Saccharomyces cerevisiae S288C: one gene and its partners. Changing the gene in region 1 together with any one later gene gives a genetic interaction. Each region holds a gene or a part of one and is shown in the gene's direction. Other genes may lie near its edges. The genes, in order: NOP19, AFG2, HFA1 and COX5B.

Evidence for each region.
Region 2: mutations in NOP19 (region 1) and AFG2 together harm fitness more than expected from each alone (negative genetic interaction), as found in Saccharomyces cerevisiae (one large-scale study listed by BioGRID).
Region 3: mutations in NOP19 (region 1) and HFA1 together harm fitness more than expected from each alone (negative genetic interaction), as found in Saccharomyces cerevisiae (one large-scale study listed by BioGRID).
Region 4: mutations in NOP19 (region 1) and COX5B together harm fitness less than expected from each alone (positive genetic interaction), as found in Saccharomyces cerevisiae (one large-scale study listed by BioGRID).

What each region holds. Positions count from the first base shown.
Region 1 is NC_001139.9:993,959-996,768, forward strand, and holds NOP19 (Nop19p), read left to right. Parts: upstream 1-1,680; coding exon 1,681-2,271; downstream 2,272-2,810.
Region 2 is NC_001144.5:912,050-916,715, reverse strand, and holds AFG2 (AAA family ATPase AFG2), read left to right. Parts: upstream 1-1,823; coding exon 1,824-4,166; downstream 4,167-4,666. Other genes in the region: SKI complex RNA helicase subunit SKI2, read left to right, coding at 1-1,560; tethering complex ATP-binding subunit VPS33, read left to right, coding at 4,406-4,666. UniProt on the Saccharomyces cerevisiae protein: ATP-dependent chaperone which uses the energy provided by ATP hydrolysis to generate mechanical force to disassemble protein complexes.
Region 3 is NC_001145.3:677,556-685,577, reverse strand, and holds the start of HFA1 (acetyl-CoA carboxylase HFA1), read left to right. Parts: upstream 1-2,013; coding exon 2,014-8,022. Other genes in the region: ERG12 (mevalonate kinase), read right to left, coding at 1-1,111. UniProt on the Saccharomyces cerevisiae protein: Catalyzes the rate-limiting reaction in the mitochondrial fatty acid synthesis (FAS) type II pathway. Responsible for the production of the mitochondrial malonyl-CoA, used for the biosynthesis of the cofactor lipoic acid.
Region 4 is NC_001141.2:153,684-156,312, forward strand, and holds COX5B (cytochrome c oxidase subunit Vb), read left to right. Parts: upstream 1-1,538; coding exon 1,539-1,539; intron 1,540-1,627; coding exon 1,628-2,082; downstream 2,083-2,629. Other genes in the region: HOS4 (Hos4p), read left to right, coding at 1-1,163; HPM1 (protein-histidine N-methyltransferase), read left to right, coding at 2,362-2,629. UniProt on the Saccharomyces cerevisiae protein: Component of the cytochrome c oxidase, the last enzyme in the mitochondrial electron transport chain which drives oxidative phosphorylation.

The sequences.
Region 1 (2,810 bases):
CGCCAATTTTACGTCTTCGGCTAGTAATCGGATCAGCGGGAGAAACATCGTACGTACACAAGAGAATACCGAGAGTGTCGATTAATCAACCACGCTCCATGAGGCTTATCCGCATTCTACTTGCATGTTAGCCGGGAAAAGACATAAATCATCTCAATTCTCTAGAATACTCTAGAGATTATGTAAAAGCGTAGCCCCGTAGATGATTAAATAATTTTCGGTTTCTTACCCCGTAACCACGAGTTGCGGTGTTTTTGCTTCTATCGGGGCAATAAGCGGGCGCTGCTTCTCGGGAATGTAAAAACTGTGCTTCCTACCATGAAGTAGTTGGATCTTGAAATGGGTTGGGCCGGAACAATATGCAAGTACTACAATCCTTGTATTCCCATATGATTATATTCCCCTTTGCATAGGCTAGTGTTTTTTTTTTCGTTCTTTTGTTTCTTCCGCTAGGAATAGTAGTGGCGATCTGCAGAAAGACGCTCTAAGGAAAAAGAGAGAATTTCGATCAGTCCCGTACACATTACTCTTGGGAAGTTCAATTCCTTCGGACGTAATCCACATACGAACTTGGCTCTCATCTGTTGTCTTCAAGCTGTTGCGGCCCTCCTCTTTCTCTCTGTTGTACACATTTTTTGACTTTCAAAAATATGCCGCTAAGGAAACATAACCCTTGTGTATGTGAGCTTGTAGCATATGATATAGTGCTCATTGGCATGTGACAAGAATTGCGTATGTAATTGAAGTTTGTAGTGTAATTTACGAAAATAGCCGCCCTTCTTCTTCATTAACGATTATTGAGCGTAATGATATAAGATACAACGGTTTATTTAGGGCTGCATCCATGAAAATACTTTGTAATAGTGAGTCGTCGCCTTGTTTGTTTATTCAATACAATGCAGTGTCTCTATAGTCTCCTCCTTTAGTTTCACTATCTTTTCTAACCGCCGAAGATATACGAGTGTTCTGAACGAAAAACGACCTTTTCAAACATAGAATATAATTGTATATATACATATACATATATGATACGCAGCCACATTCGTAGTATCTTTAAGACACTGCCTTTCAAAAAAGCTTTGGTATTTTGAAAGAAGATCGAAGCCAAGGAACCAGGACTACAATGAATTAGACGCTACAAAGTTTCTTAATTGGAAAACAAGGAGGGACAAGGAGGAGACTTTTACAGTAAACCAGAATGCTCCTTCACTGTTCAGTTATGTAATGTTATTGTTTGGAAGATCTGAAGAGAGGCATTTCCTACAACCTCTTGAATAAAATAGTGGAAGGCATTTACACAAAGAAGCCGTGCCACTTTGGTCCGGATTTTTTTTACCTAAAATCGTCTTAAATTGGCCTGTTCGATAGCTGTCATTTGTTTTAGATATTTATTTCCTAACGTCAGCTTTAGTTACAGTATGTATGTATCAACCTTTTAGTAAGACAATAATGATTGCATGTTTGATCCTGCTTTAAAGGCATTGGAAGTAACCGTAGTGGCCGCTGTTTCTTCTTGACGGCCTGTAATTGACCTGCGACGCGGGCAATTTCTAGCGATGAGATTGGAAAAACTAACGCATAAAAAAGATTTCAAGATTTATAAGATGTTGAAACAAATCCTCTTCTCACATCTACAGTTGATACAGTATACCGTATTATCTTTCCTCGGTAGTGTTCAGAATGAGTAGGGCCAAAGAATTACAAGAGAAGCTCAACTTGCAAGCGAAACTCCAGTCTACTTTCAGTAACAATACTGCTGCAGTTTTGGACTGGCTGAAAGAATCAGATGAAACCGGCATTAGCAATGATACAGAGCGTAACAAACAGTTAAAAGATCACAAGGAGTTGGAGGATGGTAAGAAGGCATTTTTCAAGCTTCCCGTTTTGCAGATTGGATCGGGCCTACACTTCCGCACACAAGATGACGCTTCCGCCAAAGAAGATATACATACGATTGGTGAGTTTATTGAGGGTGATAAAAAGGTAAGTTCGTTGGCAAAGAAAAAGAAAAGAAGTGACCCAGGGTTGCAACGAAATAATATGTACAGGATCACTAAAGATGATACGAAAGCCATGATTGCGCTTAAAAGAAAAATGAGGAAAGGCGAGAAGGAAGGACTAAGGAAGAAACAAGAGCATAGCAAAAGCAGCGTTTCGAACTCATATAGTGCCAGTGATGAAGAGGATGAAGATGCAGGGACAATGCCGCAAAAGTCCACAAAAAAAAAATTTGGTTTACTTTTTGATAAAAAAAAGAAGGCACGTAAATAATCTTAAACACTTATGGGCAGCAAAAAATGCGTCTTTCTTCCCTCGTCTGTTGTTTTATGTAGGGCGTAATGATGTTTGCTTGTCAACAAATGAATACGTACAGAAGAGAATTCTAGCCAAGGCAATTATTGCATACTGCAAGTACTGAGTACGTTAACGTTGCTAGAATAACATTAAATGAGATGTAGCAATGCAGATCCTTCCTCAGTAGGCTTAATGCTCCACTAGAATTTTTGACCAGCCACTATTTGCTTTTTTCGCAATCCTTTTCAATACTCGAGAGCAAAGACAAAAAAAATAAGACATGTAGTGCGCTGTATGGAAAAGAATTAATTAGAACTTTACAAACGCGTGTTAAACAGGCATATTTAAGTGTTTGGACCTAAACAATATATCGACTATTGAAATTCTTACGCAAGATTTTTTATAGTTGGATATTCATATATTCTTACAACTCTCTCTACTTTCAGTTTTTTGAAGCTATATGTATCATTATATACGTTTATGGATTTTTCAAACCTAAACAATTATACTGCGTA
Region 2 (4,666 bases), on another chromosome or scaffold:
TTGGATTCCACTGGTACAGTCATTGTGATGGCATATAATAGTCCTTTATCTATTGCTACGTTCAAAGAAGTAACGATGGGTGTTCCGACGAGGTTGCAGTCTCAGTTTAGATTAACATACAATATGATATTAAATCTTTTAAGAATTGAGGCGTTGAGAGTTGAAGAAATGATCAAGTATTCTTTTAGTGAGAATGCCAAAGAAACTTTACAACCTGAACATGAAAAACAAATCAAAGTATTACAAGAGGAATTACAAACCATAGAGTACAAAAGTTGTGAAATCTGTGATAATGATATCGAAAAGTTTTTGGAATTGATGCTGGCATATAAGGAGGCAACAGTCAACCTAATGCAAGAAATGGTTAAATCGCCTTCGATATTGCATATCTTGAAAGAGGGCAGACTCGTTGCTTTTAGGGACCCCAATGATTGCTTGAAATTAGGATTTGTATTTAAAGTTTCTCTGAAGGATGCTGTTTGTGTCATTATGACGTTCACAAAACCATACAAACTCCCAAATGGTGAGCCAAATCATTTAATATACTTTCCAAAAGCGGATGGATACAGAAGAAGGAACTTCCCTAAATTCCAGAAGACTGATTTTTATATGGAAGAAGTTCCTGTGACGGCTATTGAAGTGATCACTAAACGCAAGTTTGCCGCACCCTTGGGAAAAGTGATTAAAAAGGATGTTGCCGCTTTGAACGAGTTTAACGCTGAAACAAATAACATTTTGGACGGCAAAACGCTAAAAGAAGCAATTAACATTGAAAAGCAAGGTTTAAAAATTCACCAAATATTGTTAGACCGTACAAATATAAGGGATGAGATATTCAAACTAAAAAGCATTAAATGTCCCAACCTAAGCCAACACATTGTTCCCAAGTTTAAGGCGCATGTAATTAAAAAGAAAATTGAAGAATTGTACCATTTGATGTCTGACCAAAATCTGAGCTTACTACCCGATTATGAAAAGAGATTGGCTGTTCTGAAAGACACTGAATTTATCGACCAAAACCACAACGTGCTGTTAAAAGGTAGAGTGGCATGTGAAATTAATTCTGGTTATGAGTTAGTTTTAACTGAATTAATTTTAGACAACTTTTTAGGAAGCTTTGAACCTGAAGAGATTGTAGCCTTATTATCAGTATTTGTTTATGAGGGGAAAACCAGGGAAGAGGAGCCTCCTATTGTCACACCAAGGCTAGCAAAGGGTAAACAAAGAATTGAGGAAATTTACAAGAAAATGCTTTGTGTTTTCAATACGCATCAGATTCCATTAACTCAGGATGAAGCTGAGTTTTTGGACAGAAAAAGGTTTGCCATGATGAATGTGGTGTATGAGTGGGCCCGTGGTTTATCATTCAAAGAAATCATGGAAATGAGCCCCGAGGCTGAAGGTACTGTAGTCAGAGTTATCACTTGGCTAGACGAAATTTGCCGCGAAGTTAAGACTGCCTCTATTATTATTGGTAATTCCACATTACATATGAAGATGAGCAGGGCTCAAGAGTTGATTAAGAGAGATATTGTTTTCGCCGCAAGTTTGTATTTATAGAGAGCTCATTTATTCTCAATGTGAGTCATGTTTATAAAAGTTAATGTTTTCGAACTCTTATTGCACACACACACACACACGTATACATAGTTTTTAAGTCCACTTCGATCCATCTTTATTTTTTTTTTCTTTCATGTAAGCAACGGGCGGACTATTGTAAGAAAATTTTATATTGCCTCATCACATAAACTAATATGCGAACAATATACAATTGAATTCTCAACATTGCCCATTCTCAAAATTGCCCAATCATAGAAAGGAAAATGGCTCCTAAATCTAGTTCTTCCGGTTCCAAAAAGAAATCATCGGCAAGTTCTAATAGTGCTGATGCAAAAGCATCCAAATTTAAATTGCCTGCTGAATTTATTACCAGACCACATCCTTCTAAAGATCATGGCAAGGAAACATGCACAGCATATATTCATCCTAACGTATTATCCTCGCTTGAGATAAATCCGGGATCATTTTGTACTGTCGGTAAGATAGGCGAAAATGGTATTTTAGTAATAGCTAGAGCGGGTGATGAAGAAGTACATCCTGTTAATGTTATCACCCTTTCCACAACTATACGATCTGTTGGGAACCTTATCCTTGGTGATCGTCTAGAATTAAAGAAAGCCCAGGTGCAACCACCTTATGCCACTAAGGTTACCGTGGGGTCCTTACAAGGATATAATATTTTGGAATGTATGGAGGAAAAAGTAATTCAAAAGCTACTGGATGATAGTGGCGTTATAATGCCTGGAATGATTTTTCAAAACTTAAAAACAAAAGCAGGTGATGAAAGCATTGATGTCGTAATTACAGATGCGAGCGATGATTCGCTTCCCGACGTCAGCCAACTAGATCTTAACATGGACGATATGTACGGTGGATTAGATAACCTGTTTTATCTATCTCCACCTTTTATATTCAGAAAAGGCTCCACACATATAACTTTTTCGAAAGAAACCCAGGCAAATCGTAAATACAATCTTCCGGAGCCCTTATCCTATGCAGCAGTGGGCGGCTTAGACAAGGAGATTGAATCACTGAAAAGTGCTATTGAAATACCTCTTCATCAACCGACGCTATTTAGTAGCTTTGGTGTTTCTCCCCCTCGAGGTATACTTCTTCACGGACCCCCAGGTACTGGTAAAACTATGCTTTTGAGAGTTGTAGCAAATACGTCCAACGCACACGTCCTAACCATTAATGGCCCCTCAATCGTCTCCAAATATCTTGGTGAAACGGAAGCGGCATTAAGAGATATTTTTAATGAAGCAAGGAAGTACCAGCCTTCCATTATTTTCATTGACGAAATTGATTCAATAGCACCAAATAGAGCAAACGATGACTCCGGTGAAGTTGAGAGCAGAGTCGTGGCTACATTGCTTACCCTAATGGATGGCATGGGCGCTGCAGGTAAAGTGGTGGTAATTGCTGCTACAAACAGGCCTAATTCTGTCGACCCTGCTCTCAGGAGACCTGGCAGGTTTGACCAAGAAGTAGAAATTGGTATACCAGACGTTGATGCCAGATTTGACATTTTAACTAAGCAATTCTCAAGAATGTCCTCGGATCGTCACGTATTAGATTCTGAAGCGATCAAGTACATTGCTTCTAAAACGCATGGCTATGTTGGTGCTGATTTAACTGCTCTCTGCAGAGAATCAGTTATGAAGACGATACAACGAGGACTAGGAACAGACGCCAATATTGACAAGTTTTCCCTAAAAGTTACATTGAAAGATGTGGAGAGCGCCATGGTTGATATCAGACCCAGCGCAATGAGAGAAATCTTCTTAGAAATGCCAAAAGTTTATTGGTCTGACATTGGCGGCCAAGAAGAGCTTAAAACAAAGATGAAAGAAATGATACAGTTGCCTTTGGAGGCTTCGGAGACTTTTGCCAGGCTGGGAATTTCTGCACCAAAAGGTGTATTACTTTACGGGCCGCCAGGTTGCTCCAAGACATTAACCGCAAAAGCTCTCGCTACAGAATCGGGTATCAACTTCTTAGCTGTGAAAGGGCCTGAAATTTTTAACAAGTATGTAGGGGAATCCGAAAGAGCTATAAGAGAAATTTTCCGCAAAGCACGCTCTGCAGCTCCAAGTATTATCTTCTTTGATGAAATCGATGCATTATCTCCTGATAGAGACGGGAGTTCCACCTCTGCAGCTAATCACGTGCTCACATCTTTACTCAATGAGATTGATGGTGTTGAAGAGTTAAAGGGTGTAGTTATTGTAGCGGCGACGAATAGACCTGATGAAATAGATGCTGCTCTTCTAAGGCCTGGTAGGTTAGATAGACACATTTACGTTGGCCCTCCAGACGTAAACGCCCGCTTGGAAATCTTAAAGAAGTGCACAAAGAAATTTAATACAGAAGAGTCTGGAGTCGATCTTCATGAATTGGCAGACCGTACAGAAGGTTATTCCGGAGCTGAAGTTGTGCTGCTTTGTCAAGAAGCGGGCTTGGCTGCCATAATGGAAGATTTAGATGTCGCAAAAGTGGAATTACGTCATTTTGAGAAAGCTTTTAAAGGAATTGCTAGGGGCATTACTCCAGAAATGCTCTCTTATTATGAAGAGTTTGCTCTAAGAAGCGGTTCATCTTCGTAAGCTTGTTCATAGTCAATTCTTTTCCTTTGTGTGCTCAATAATAGTAGATAGAAATTATACTGAACTCCGGTCATTTTGTATAATATATTAATCACTTCACACGAACATACATAAATAAAATATCATAAAGGTTAGCAAATTGGAACTAGTTATATGTTAATTAGTTAAAAGATAGAAAATTCGAGAAAGGAAGAAAAAGCTGATATTGCCCATCTCCAACTTTATCAAATCATTTCACGATGAATAGATTTTGGAATACTAAGAAATTTTCATTAACAAATGCCGATGGACTATGTGCTACCTTAAATGAGATATCTCAAAATGATGAAGTTCTTGTGGTTCAACCAAGTGTATTGCCAGTACTCAATAGTTTGCTAACTTTCCAAGATTTGACTCAATCAACTCCTGTAAGGAAAATTACGTTACTCGATGATCAGCTAAGTGACGATTTACCGAGTGCCTTAGGCAGCGTTCCGCAAATGGATCTTATTTTTCTTATT
Region 3 (8,022 bases), on another chromosome or scaffold:
TTTGCTCTTGAGTAATGTCTCTTCGTAACAAAGTCAAAGAGCAACCGCCGCCACCAGCACCGGTAAGTTTTGTGGAGCCAATTCTCAAATCATCGCTCAGATTTTTAATAAGTTCTAATCCAGGATGAGAAACACCGATTGAGACAAGCAGTCCATGATTTATTCTTATCAATTCCAATAGTTGTTCATACAGTTCATTATTAGTTTCTACAGCCTCGTCATCGGTGCCTTTACATTTACTTAACTTAGTCATGATCTCTAAGCCTTGTAGGGCACATTCACCCATGGCATCTAGAATTGGCTTCATAACTTCAGGAAATTTCTCGGTGACCAACACACGAACGCGAGCAACAAGATCTTTTGTAGACCTTGGAATTCTAGTATAGGTTAGGATCATTGGAATGGCTGGGAAATCATCTAAGAACTTAAAATTGTTTGTGTTTATTGTTCCATTATGTGAGTCTTTTTCAAATAGCAGGGCATTACCATAAGTGGCCACAGCGTTATCTATTCCTGAAGGGGTACCGTGAATACACTTTTCACCTATGAAGGCCCATTGATTCACTATATGCTTATCGTTTTCTGACAGCTTTTCCAAGTCATTAGATCCTATTAACCCCCCCAAGTAGGCCATAGCTAAGGCCAGTGATACAGAAATAGAGGCGCTTGAGCCCAACCCAGCACCGATGGGTAAAGTAGACTTTAAAGAAAACTTAATATTCTTGGCATGGGGGCATAGGCAAACAAACATATACAGGAAACAAAACGCTGCATGGTAGTGGAAGGATTCGGATAGTTGAGCTAACAACGGATCCAAAAGACTAACGAGTTCCTGAGACAAGCCATCGGTGGCTTGTTGAGCCTTGGCCAATTTTTGGGAGTTTACTTGATCCTCGGTGATGGCATTGAAATCATTGATGGACCACTTATGATTAAAGCTAATGTCCGGGAAGTCCAATTCAATAGTATCTGGTGCAGATGACTCGCTTATTAGCAGGTAGGTTCTCAACGCAGACACACTAGCAGCGACGGCAGGCTTGTTGTACACAGCAGAGTGTTCACCAAAAATAATAACCTTTCCCGGTGCAGAAGTTAAGAACGGTAATGACATATTGACAGTTTTCTATACGTAGATATAAATTTGCAAGTTAGGACTAAGAAGCGCACCAGCTAACCAGGAAGTAATATCATGGCTAACTAACCTTTATAGGCATATCGTTGTATCGTTCTTCGATACCCTGTCGAAGATTTCAGTGCGACAGCCAAACGAGGCCCGAAAATTGTCAGTACAATTACAACCGATAAAATACACGTTGAGACAAAACTAGCACAAAACGCCTCTTTAAACATAAATGTGTACGCATTCTGAAAGTGAGATAGAGTACAAGGCTATCGCTAGCTTTCCACGGGAGAAGTAGTAGGAACCTCTCTTTTTATTGCTTATGACAGTAATAATAGCATCATTCATCAATGTTTCCGTTAGGGTAACTAAAATGGGTGGGCGGCAGATGACAAGAAAAGATGAATAATGAAGAATGATAAAGAAGAAGTCATCTTGGGTAGAAAGGGAAGACAATTACACACGGCCAAAGCTGGGGGGCTCGCCGGATACATTCTCACTTTTACATTACCATATTCACAATTACTTGCATTCGAATAGGACAGTACAAGCTCGCGTTATATTTGGATCCTTATCGATTCTATAATATAACGGGCAGCCAGATAGTACGGTTGAAAGGACAGCGCCCTGAATACAGAAAACGCATTTTTGCCCATTCGTATAGGCATTCATCTCGAATAGGTTTGAATTTTCCATCTAGAAGAAGGTATTCCAATTATGTGGATCGAGGCAATATTCATAAACATACTCGATTACCGCCCCAGTTCATAGGGCTAAATACTGTGGAAAGTGCCCAACCTTCAATATTAAGAGATTTTGTTGATTTACGTGGTGGACATACTGTTATTTCAAAGATCTTAATAGCAAACAATGGTATTGCTGCGGTGAAAGAAATGAGATCTATAAGAAAATGGGCGTACGAGACGTTCAATGATGAAAAAATCATTCAATTCGTGGTAATGGCGACACCTGATGATTTACACGCAAATTCGGAGTATATTAGAATGGCAGACCAATATGTGCAGGTACCAGGGGGTACCAACAACAACAATTACGCCAACATAGACTTAATACTGGACGTGGCAGAGCAAACGGATGTGGATGCGGTCTGGGCTGGATGGGGCCATGCTTCTGAAAATCCGTGTCTTCCTGAGCTGTTAGCTAGTTCACAAAGGAAAATACTATTCATTGGTCCTCCTGGACGCGCTATGAGATCATTGGGTGACAAGATTTCTTCCACTATTGTAGCACAAAGCGCTAAAATCCCGTGTATCCCTTGGTCTGGTTCACATATAGACACTATCCATATCGATAACAAGACGAACTTTGTATCTGTGCCGGATGATGTATATGTAAGGGGATGTTGTTCCTCACCTGAAGATGCTTTAGAAAAGGCTAAATTAATAGGATTTCCTGTAATGATTAAGGCATCCGAAGGTGGTGGAGGTAAGGGCATTAGGCGAGTAGATAATGAGGATGATTTTATTGCATTATATCGCCAAGCAGTGAATGAGACACCTGGGTCGCCTATGTTTGTTATGAAAGTTGTCACTGATGCTCGTCACTTAGAGGTACAGTTATTAGCTGACCAATATGGCACTAACATTACATTGTTTGGGAGAGACTGTTCCATACAAAGGCGGCACCAAAAGATTATAGAAGAGGCACCAGTGACAATAACCAAGCCTGAAACGTTTCAAAGGATGGAACGCGCAGCAATTCGTCTAGGTGAATTGGTAGGTTATGTTTCTGCGGGCACTGTCGAATACTTATATTCACCAAAAGATGATAAATTTTACTTTTTAGAACTGAATCCGAGACTACAAGTAGAGCATCCAACGACAGAAATGATATCTGGCGTAAACCTTCCTGCCACTCAACTGCAAATCGCCATGGGCATTCCTATGCACATGATAAGTGATATCAGAAAACTTTATGGTTTAGATCCAACGGGAACTTCGTATATTGATTTTAAAAATTTAAAGAGACCCTCGCCAAAAGGCCATTGTATTTCATGCAGGATCACTTCAGAAGATCCTAATGAAGGTTTCAAGCCCTCCACTGGGAAAATACATGAGCTCAATTTTCGTTCTTCTTCCAATGTTTGGGGTTACTTCTCAGTAGGAAATAATGGTGCTATTCACTCATTTTCAGATTCCCAATTTGGGCACATTTTTGCTGTAGGAAACGATAGGCAAGATGCAAAGCAAAACATGGTTTTAGCTCTAAAAGATTTTTCCATCCGAGGAGAATTCAAAACCCCCATAGAGTACCTGATAGAGCTATTAGAAACTCGGGACTTTGAGAGTAATAACATATCGACTGGTTGGTTAGATGATTTGATTTTGAAAAATTTATCTTCCGATAGCAAACTAGATCCAACGCTCGCTATTATCTGTGGTGCCGCAATGAAAGCATACGTTTTCACAGAAAAGGTGAGGAATAAGTATTTGGAATTATTGCGGAGGGGCCAAGTTCCACCTAAAGATTTTCTTAAAACGAAGTTTCCTGTTGACTTCATTTTCGATAATAATAGATACTTGTTCAATGTTGCTCAATCATCTGAAGAACAATTTATTCTTTCTATCAATAAGTCTCAATGTGAAGTTAATGTTCAAAAATTGTCCAGTGACTGCTTGTTGATCTCCGTTGACGGTAAATGCCATACAGTTTATTGGAAGGACGATATCAGAGGTACAAGACTTTCGATAGACTCCAATACCATATTTTTAGAAGCTGAACTCAATCCCACTCAAGTGATCTCTCCAACTCCGGGGAAATTGGTGAAATATTTGGTCCGAAGTGGTGATCACGTTTTTGCTGGACAGCAATATGCAGAAATAGAAATAATGAAAATGCAGATGCCACTAGTAGCGAAAAGTGATGGTGTAATTGAGTTACTAAGACAGCCCGGTTCCATAATTGAGGCTGGTGATGTCATCGCAAAATTGACTTTGGATTCGCCGTCCAAAGCTAACGAATCGTCTTTATACCGCGGAGAATTACCTGTTTTAGGTCCACCGCTAATAGAGGGTAGCCGACCAAACCATAAGCTCAGAGTCTTAATAAATAGGTTAGAAAATATTCTCAATGGATATCATGAAAACTCTGGAATAGAAACTACTCTAAAAGAGTTGATAAAAATATTGAGAGATGGTAGGCTTCCTTATTCAGAATGGGATTCCCAAATTTCTACGGTACGCAATAGACTACCAAGGCAATTGAATGAGGGGCTGGGAAATCTAGTCAAGAAATCTGTTTCTTTTCCTGCAAAGGAACTGCACAAATTAATGAAGCGCTACTTGGAAGAAAATACAAATGATCATGTAGTTTATGTTGCCTTACAGCCACTTCTTAAAATTAGTGAAAGGTATAGCGAAGGTTTAGCTAATCACGAATGTGAAATTTTTTTAAAGTTGATTAAAAAGTACTATGCTGTTGAGAAAATTTTTGAAAATCATGATATACATGAAGAAAGAAACTTACTAAATCTGCGGAGGAAAGACCTTACAAACTTGAAAAAAATTTTGTGCATAAGTTTATCGCATGCTAACGTAGTCGCAAAGAACAAGTTAGTAACTGCAATATTGCATGAATACGAGCCATTGTGCCAGGATTCCTCTAAGATGTCTTTAAAATTCAGGGCTGTTATACATGATTTGGCAAGTTTGGAATCTAAGTGGGCTAAAGAGGTTGCTGTAAAGGCAAGATCAGTGCTACTCAGAGGGATTTTCCCTCCCATAAAGAAAAGAAAAGAGCATATTAAAACTCTCCTGCAATTGCACATAAAGGATACTGGTGCCGAAAACATTCACAGCAGGAACATATATTCCTGTATGAGGGATTTTGGTAATTTAATACATTCAAATCTGATACAACTTCAGGATTTGTTCTTTTTTTTTGGCCATCAAGATACGGCTCTTTCCAGTATAGCATCTGAAATTTATGCAAGGTATGCCTACGGCAATTATCAATTAAAAAGTATTAAGATTCATAAAGGAGCGCCTGATTTACTAATGTCATGGCAATTCAGCTCATTAAGAAATTATTTAGTCAATTCTGATGGTGAGAGTGATGAGTTTACAAAACTTTCTAAACCTCCCTCAACATCAGGTAAGAGCTCAGCAAATAGTTTTGGTCTTCTTGTCAACATGCGTGCGCTTGAATCTCTGGAAAAGACATTAGACGAGGTATACGAACAAATTCATATTCCTGAGGAAAGACTTTCCAGCGGAGAGAACTCTCTTATTGTTAATATTTTATCTCCTATTCGTTACAGAAGTGAAAATGATCTAATTAAAACTTTAAAAATTAAACTTCATGAAAATGAGAGAGGTCTATCCAAGCTCAAGGTTAATCGTATTACATTTGCATTTATCGCCGCGAATGCGCCCGCTGTTAAATTTTACTCCTTTGATGGAACTACGTACGATGAAATCTCTCAAATAAGAAATATGGATCCATCCTATGAAGCACCGTTAGAGTTAGGAAAAATGTCGAACTATAAAATCAGATCACTACCTACATACGATAGTAGTATACGCATTTTTGAAGGTATTAGCAAATTTACGCCGCTAGATAAAAGGTTCTTTGTCAGGAAAATCATAAATTCCTTCATGTATAATGATCAAAAAACAACCGAAGAAAACTTGAAAGCGGAAATCAATGCTCAAGTGGTTTATATGTTAGAACATCTAGGAGCAGTTGACATCTCAAATTCAGACTTGAATCATATTTTTTTAAGTTTCAATACAGTTCTTAACATACCAGTACATCGTCTCGAGGAAATTGTGAGTACAATTCTAAAGACTCACGAAACCAGATTGTTTCAAGAAAGAATCACAGATGTAGAAATTTGCATCTCTGTTGAGTGCCTAGAAACAAAGAAGCCAGCCCCGCTTAGATTACTTATTTCTAATAAATCTGGGTATGTGGTAAAAATTGAGACATATTACGAAAAGATAGGGAAAAATGGGAATCTGATTTTGGAACCGTGTAGTGAGCAGAGCCATTATAGCCAGAAATCTCTCTCTCTTCCTTACTCGGTCAAGGATTGGCTACAACCTAAAAGGTACAAAGCTCAATTCATGGGTACAACATATGTGTACGATTTCCCAGGTCTGTTTCATCAAGCTGCAATCCAACAGTGGAAAAGGTATTTTCCAAAACATAAGCTGAATGACAGTTTTTTTAGTTGGGTTGAATTGATAGAACAAAACGGTAATTTAATAAAAGTAAACAGGGAGCCAGGCCTTAATAATATAGGGATGGTTGCTTTTGAGATTATGGTTCAGACACCTGAATATCCTGAAGGGCGTAACATGATCGTGATTTCTAATGATATTACCTACAATATTGGATCTTTTGGACCGAGAGAAGATTTGTTTTTTGATAGGGTCACAAATTATGCAAGAGAGAGAGGGATCCCGAGGATATACTTGGCGGCGAATTCAGGAGCTAAATTGGGTATAGCCGAAGAGCTGATCCCTCTATTTCGTGTAGCATGGAATGACCCCTCTGATCCAACAAAGGGTTTCCAGTACTTATACTTAGCTCCAAAAGACATGCAGCTACTGAAAGATTCTGGGAAAGGAAATTCGGTTGTTGTTGAACACAAGATGGTATACGGTGAAGAGAGATATATTATTAAAGCAATAGTCGGATTCGAAGAGGGTTTAGGTGTTGAATGTTTACAGGGCTCGGGTTTAATTGCTGGTGCCACTTCGAAAGCGTATAGAGACATTTTCACTATTACTGCTGTTACTTGTCGGTCCGTTGGTATAGGTTCCTATCTGGTCAGACTAGGACAACGTACTATTCAGGTGGAGGATAAGCCTATCATACTGACGGGTGCATCGGCGATTAATAAAGTTTTGGGTACCGATATCTATACATCTAACCTACAAATTGGCGGAACCCAAATCATGTATAAAAACGGAATAGCGCATTTAACAGCCAGTAATGATATGAAAGCCATCGAAAAAATAATGACATGGTTATCATATGTCCCGGCGAAAAGAGATATGAGTCCTCCACTTCTTGAAACTATGGATAGATGGGATAGGGATGTAGACTTCAAACCTGCCAAGCAAGTGCCATATGAGGCAAGGTGGTTGATAGAGGGTAAATGGGACTCAAATAACAACTTCCAGTCAGGCCTATTTGATAAGGATTCGTTTTTTGAGACATTATCTGGATGGGCCAAAGGTGTAATAGTTGGAAGAGCACGTCTTGGAGGTATTCCCGTGGGTGTTATTGCGGTAGAAACTAAGACTATCGAAGAAATAATCCCCGCTGACCCAGCTAATCTGGATTCTTCAGAGTTTTCCGTTAAAGAAGCAGGACAGGTGTGGTATCCAAATTCCGCGTTCAAAACAGCTCAAACTATAAATGATTTTAACTATGGTGAGCAATTACCATTGATTATCTTAGCCAATTGGAGGGGATTTTCTGGCGGTCAAAGGGATATGTACAATGAAGTACTAAAGTACGGGTCTTTTATTGTTGACGCTCTGGTTGACTACAAACAACCCATACTGATATACATTCCGCCCTTTGGTGAATTAAGGGGCGGATCATGGGTTGTTATAGATCCAACTATTAATCCTGAACAAATGGAAATGTATGCCGATGTTGAATCTAGGGGAGGTGTGTTAGAACCTGACGGAGTAGTTAGCATAAAATACCGTAAGGAGAAAATGATAGAGACGATGATTCGATTAGACTCCACATATGGACATTTGAGAAGAACGTTGACAGAAAAAAAGTTATCTTTGGAAAAACAAAATGATCTTACGAAGAGATTGAAAATAAGAGAGAGACAGTTGATACCAATTTACAATCAAATCAGCATACAGTTTGCAGATTTACATGATAGATCGACTAGGATGCTAGTTAAAGGA
Region 4 (2,629 bases), on another chromosome or scaffold:
GAAGTGCCACTCCTAGAATTGAAGACGAAGAGGACGATACGAGGATGCTCAATCTGGCAGACGATGACTTTAATAACGATCGTGATGTCAAGGAATCTACAACTTCGGATTCGCGCAAGAGATTGGATGACAATGAAAATGTTGGTACTCAATACTCATTGGACTGGAAAAAACGTAAAACAAATGCCTTGCAAGATGAAGAAAAATTAAAAAGTATCTCACCACTCTCTATGGAACCTCATTCTCCAAAGAAGGCAAAATCTGTAGAGATAAGTAAAATACATGAAGAAACGGCTGCTGAAAGAGAAGCAAGACTCAAGGAAGAGGAAGAATACAGAAAGAAAAGATTAGAAAAGAAAAGAAAAAAAGAACAGGAACTACTACAAAAGCTGGCCGAAGATGAGAAAAAAAGGATCGAAGAACAGGAGAAGCAGAAAGTCTTAGAAATGGAAAGATTGGAAAAAGCTACTTTAGAGAAAGCAAGAAAAATGGAAAGGGAAAAAGAAATGGAAGAAATCTCTTATAGAAGGGCAGTAAGGGACTTATATCCGTTAGGACTGAAGATTATTAACTTCAACGATAAACTTGATTACAAAAGATTTTTGCCGCTATATTATTTTGTAGACGAAAAAAACGATAAATTTGTGCTCGACTTGCAAGTAATGATATTGTTGAAGGATATCGACTTGCTCTCAAAGGACAACCAACCAACTTCTGAGAAGATTCCCGTCGATCCCTCGCACCTGACTCCATTGTGGAATATGTTGAAATTCATTTTCCTGTATGGAGGTAGTTATGATGATAAAAAGAACAACATGGAAAATAAAAGATATGTTGTAAACTTTGATGGGGTTGATTTGGACACAAAGATTGGGTATGAGCTTTTGGAGTACAAAAAATTTGTTAGTTTGCCCATGGCGTGGATTAAATGGGATAACGTTGTTATTGAAAACCACGCAAAAAGAAAAGAAATTGAAGGAAATATGATTCAAATATCAATAAACGAATTTGCACGATGGAGAAACGATAAGCTGAACAAAGCGCAGCAGCCGACGCGCAAACAGCGTTCTCTAAAAATACCTCGAGAGTTACCGGTTAAATTTCAACACCGTATGAGCATATCCTCCGTCCTCCAGCAGACATCCAAAGAACCATTTTGGTAAAACAATTCATCGGTCCGTTGGCATATGCTCATACATAGTTGCATTTTCGATTCATTAAATACTATTCATGTTAACATAATTCCATATAATCGTACTGTTTTGTCATTATTATATCGGCATGACACTCACCAATTTCTTTTTTTGATTTTGTATTGTTCGATAAGGCAACGAACGAGTACTCGAAAAAATGTCATGGACCCCTTAAAATTACTGAGGGGTTCAGAAAATACCGTGCAAAAGACGAAAAAAGACGAATTTCATTTGATTTATATTTTATAAATGACTGTTGCATTAAACAATAGACCAATTATTTCAATTTAATATTCTTTGCAGGAAACTTTCACAATGGAATAACGCCACATATTCATTGTAAAGAGCATGTATAACAAACACTGATTTTTGTTTTGAGTTTTAAAAGATATCCATTTACTAACATTCGAGGTGTACAAGCACAAGTTTTGCAGTGTTGCGTACTTCTCTTACTAAAGGGGCACGGCTAACTGGGACAAGATTTGTTCAAACAAAGGCCCTTTCGAAGGCAACATTGACAGATCTGCCCGAAAGATGGGAAAATATGCCAAACTTAGAACAGAAAGAGATTGCAGATAATTTGACAGAACGTCAAAAGCTTCCATGGAAAACTCTCAATAACGAGGAAATCAAAGCAGCTTGGTACATATCCTACGGCGAGTGGGGACCTAGAAGACCTGTACACGGAAAAGGCGATGTTGCATTTATAACTAAAGGAGTATTTTTAGGGTTAGGAATCTCATTTGGGCTCTTTGGTTTAGTGAGACTATTAGCCAATCCTGAAACTCCAAAGACTATGAACAGGGAATGGCAGTTGAAATCAGACGAGTATCTGAAGTCAAAAAATGCCAATCCTTGGGGAGGTTATTCTCAAGTTCAATCTAAATAAGTAGACGAGGAAAATAAAATTGTTTCGTATATTCCGTGTTTGGGGTATAAGTAGATTGTTTTCATATATACGCATTTGGTCTTAGTTCAGTAGGTTGATTACTTAGTTCCTTGTACCTTCTTCTGCAAATATCATTCATTGTTACTTCGAAGAAGAAAAAAAATAATCATGGAAAATTGGAAAAAAAAAAAGTCCAATCTAAAAAATAAAAATGTTCAAGTCATCGATTCTATGGGGAGGAAAAGGACAATCAGAACCGAAGTGTTGTGTAGCTAAAATATGTCATTTTCCTTCGGCTTTACTTCCAATGACTTTGATGATGATGAGCTTGTTGCTCAACCTGAAACATTCGTTGAAAGCAGCAAAGAAAACGAAAATACCACTGCTTACATCAATCCATTAGATTCGGATTTCTTGTCGCAAGCTGGAGTTGTGCAGCCAAATGTGGAAGACCTAGGAACAATATTGGAAAGTCTTAAGGATGTTAGATTGACATTTGAAGAGTTCCAATCTCCGATATATAGAAAACCATTGATCAAGAGGGAAC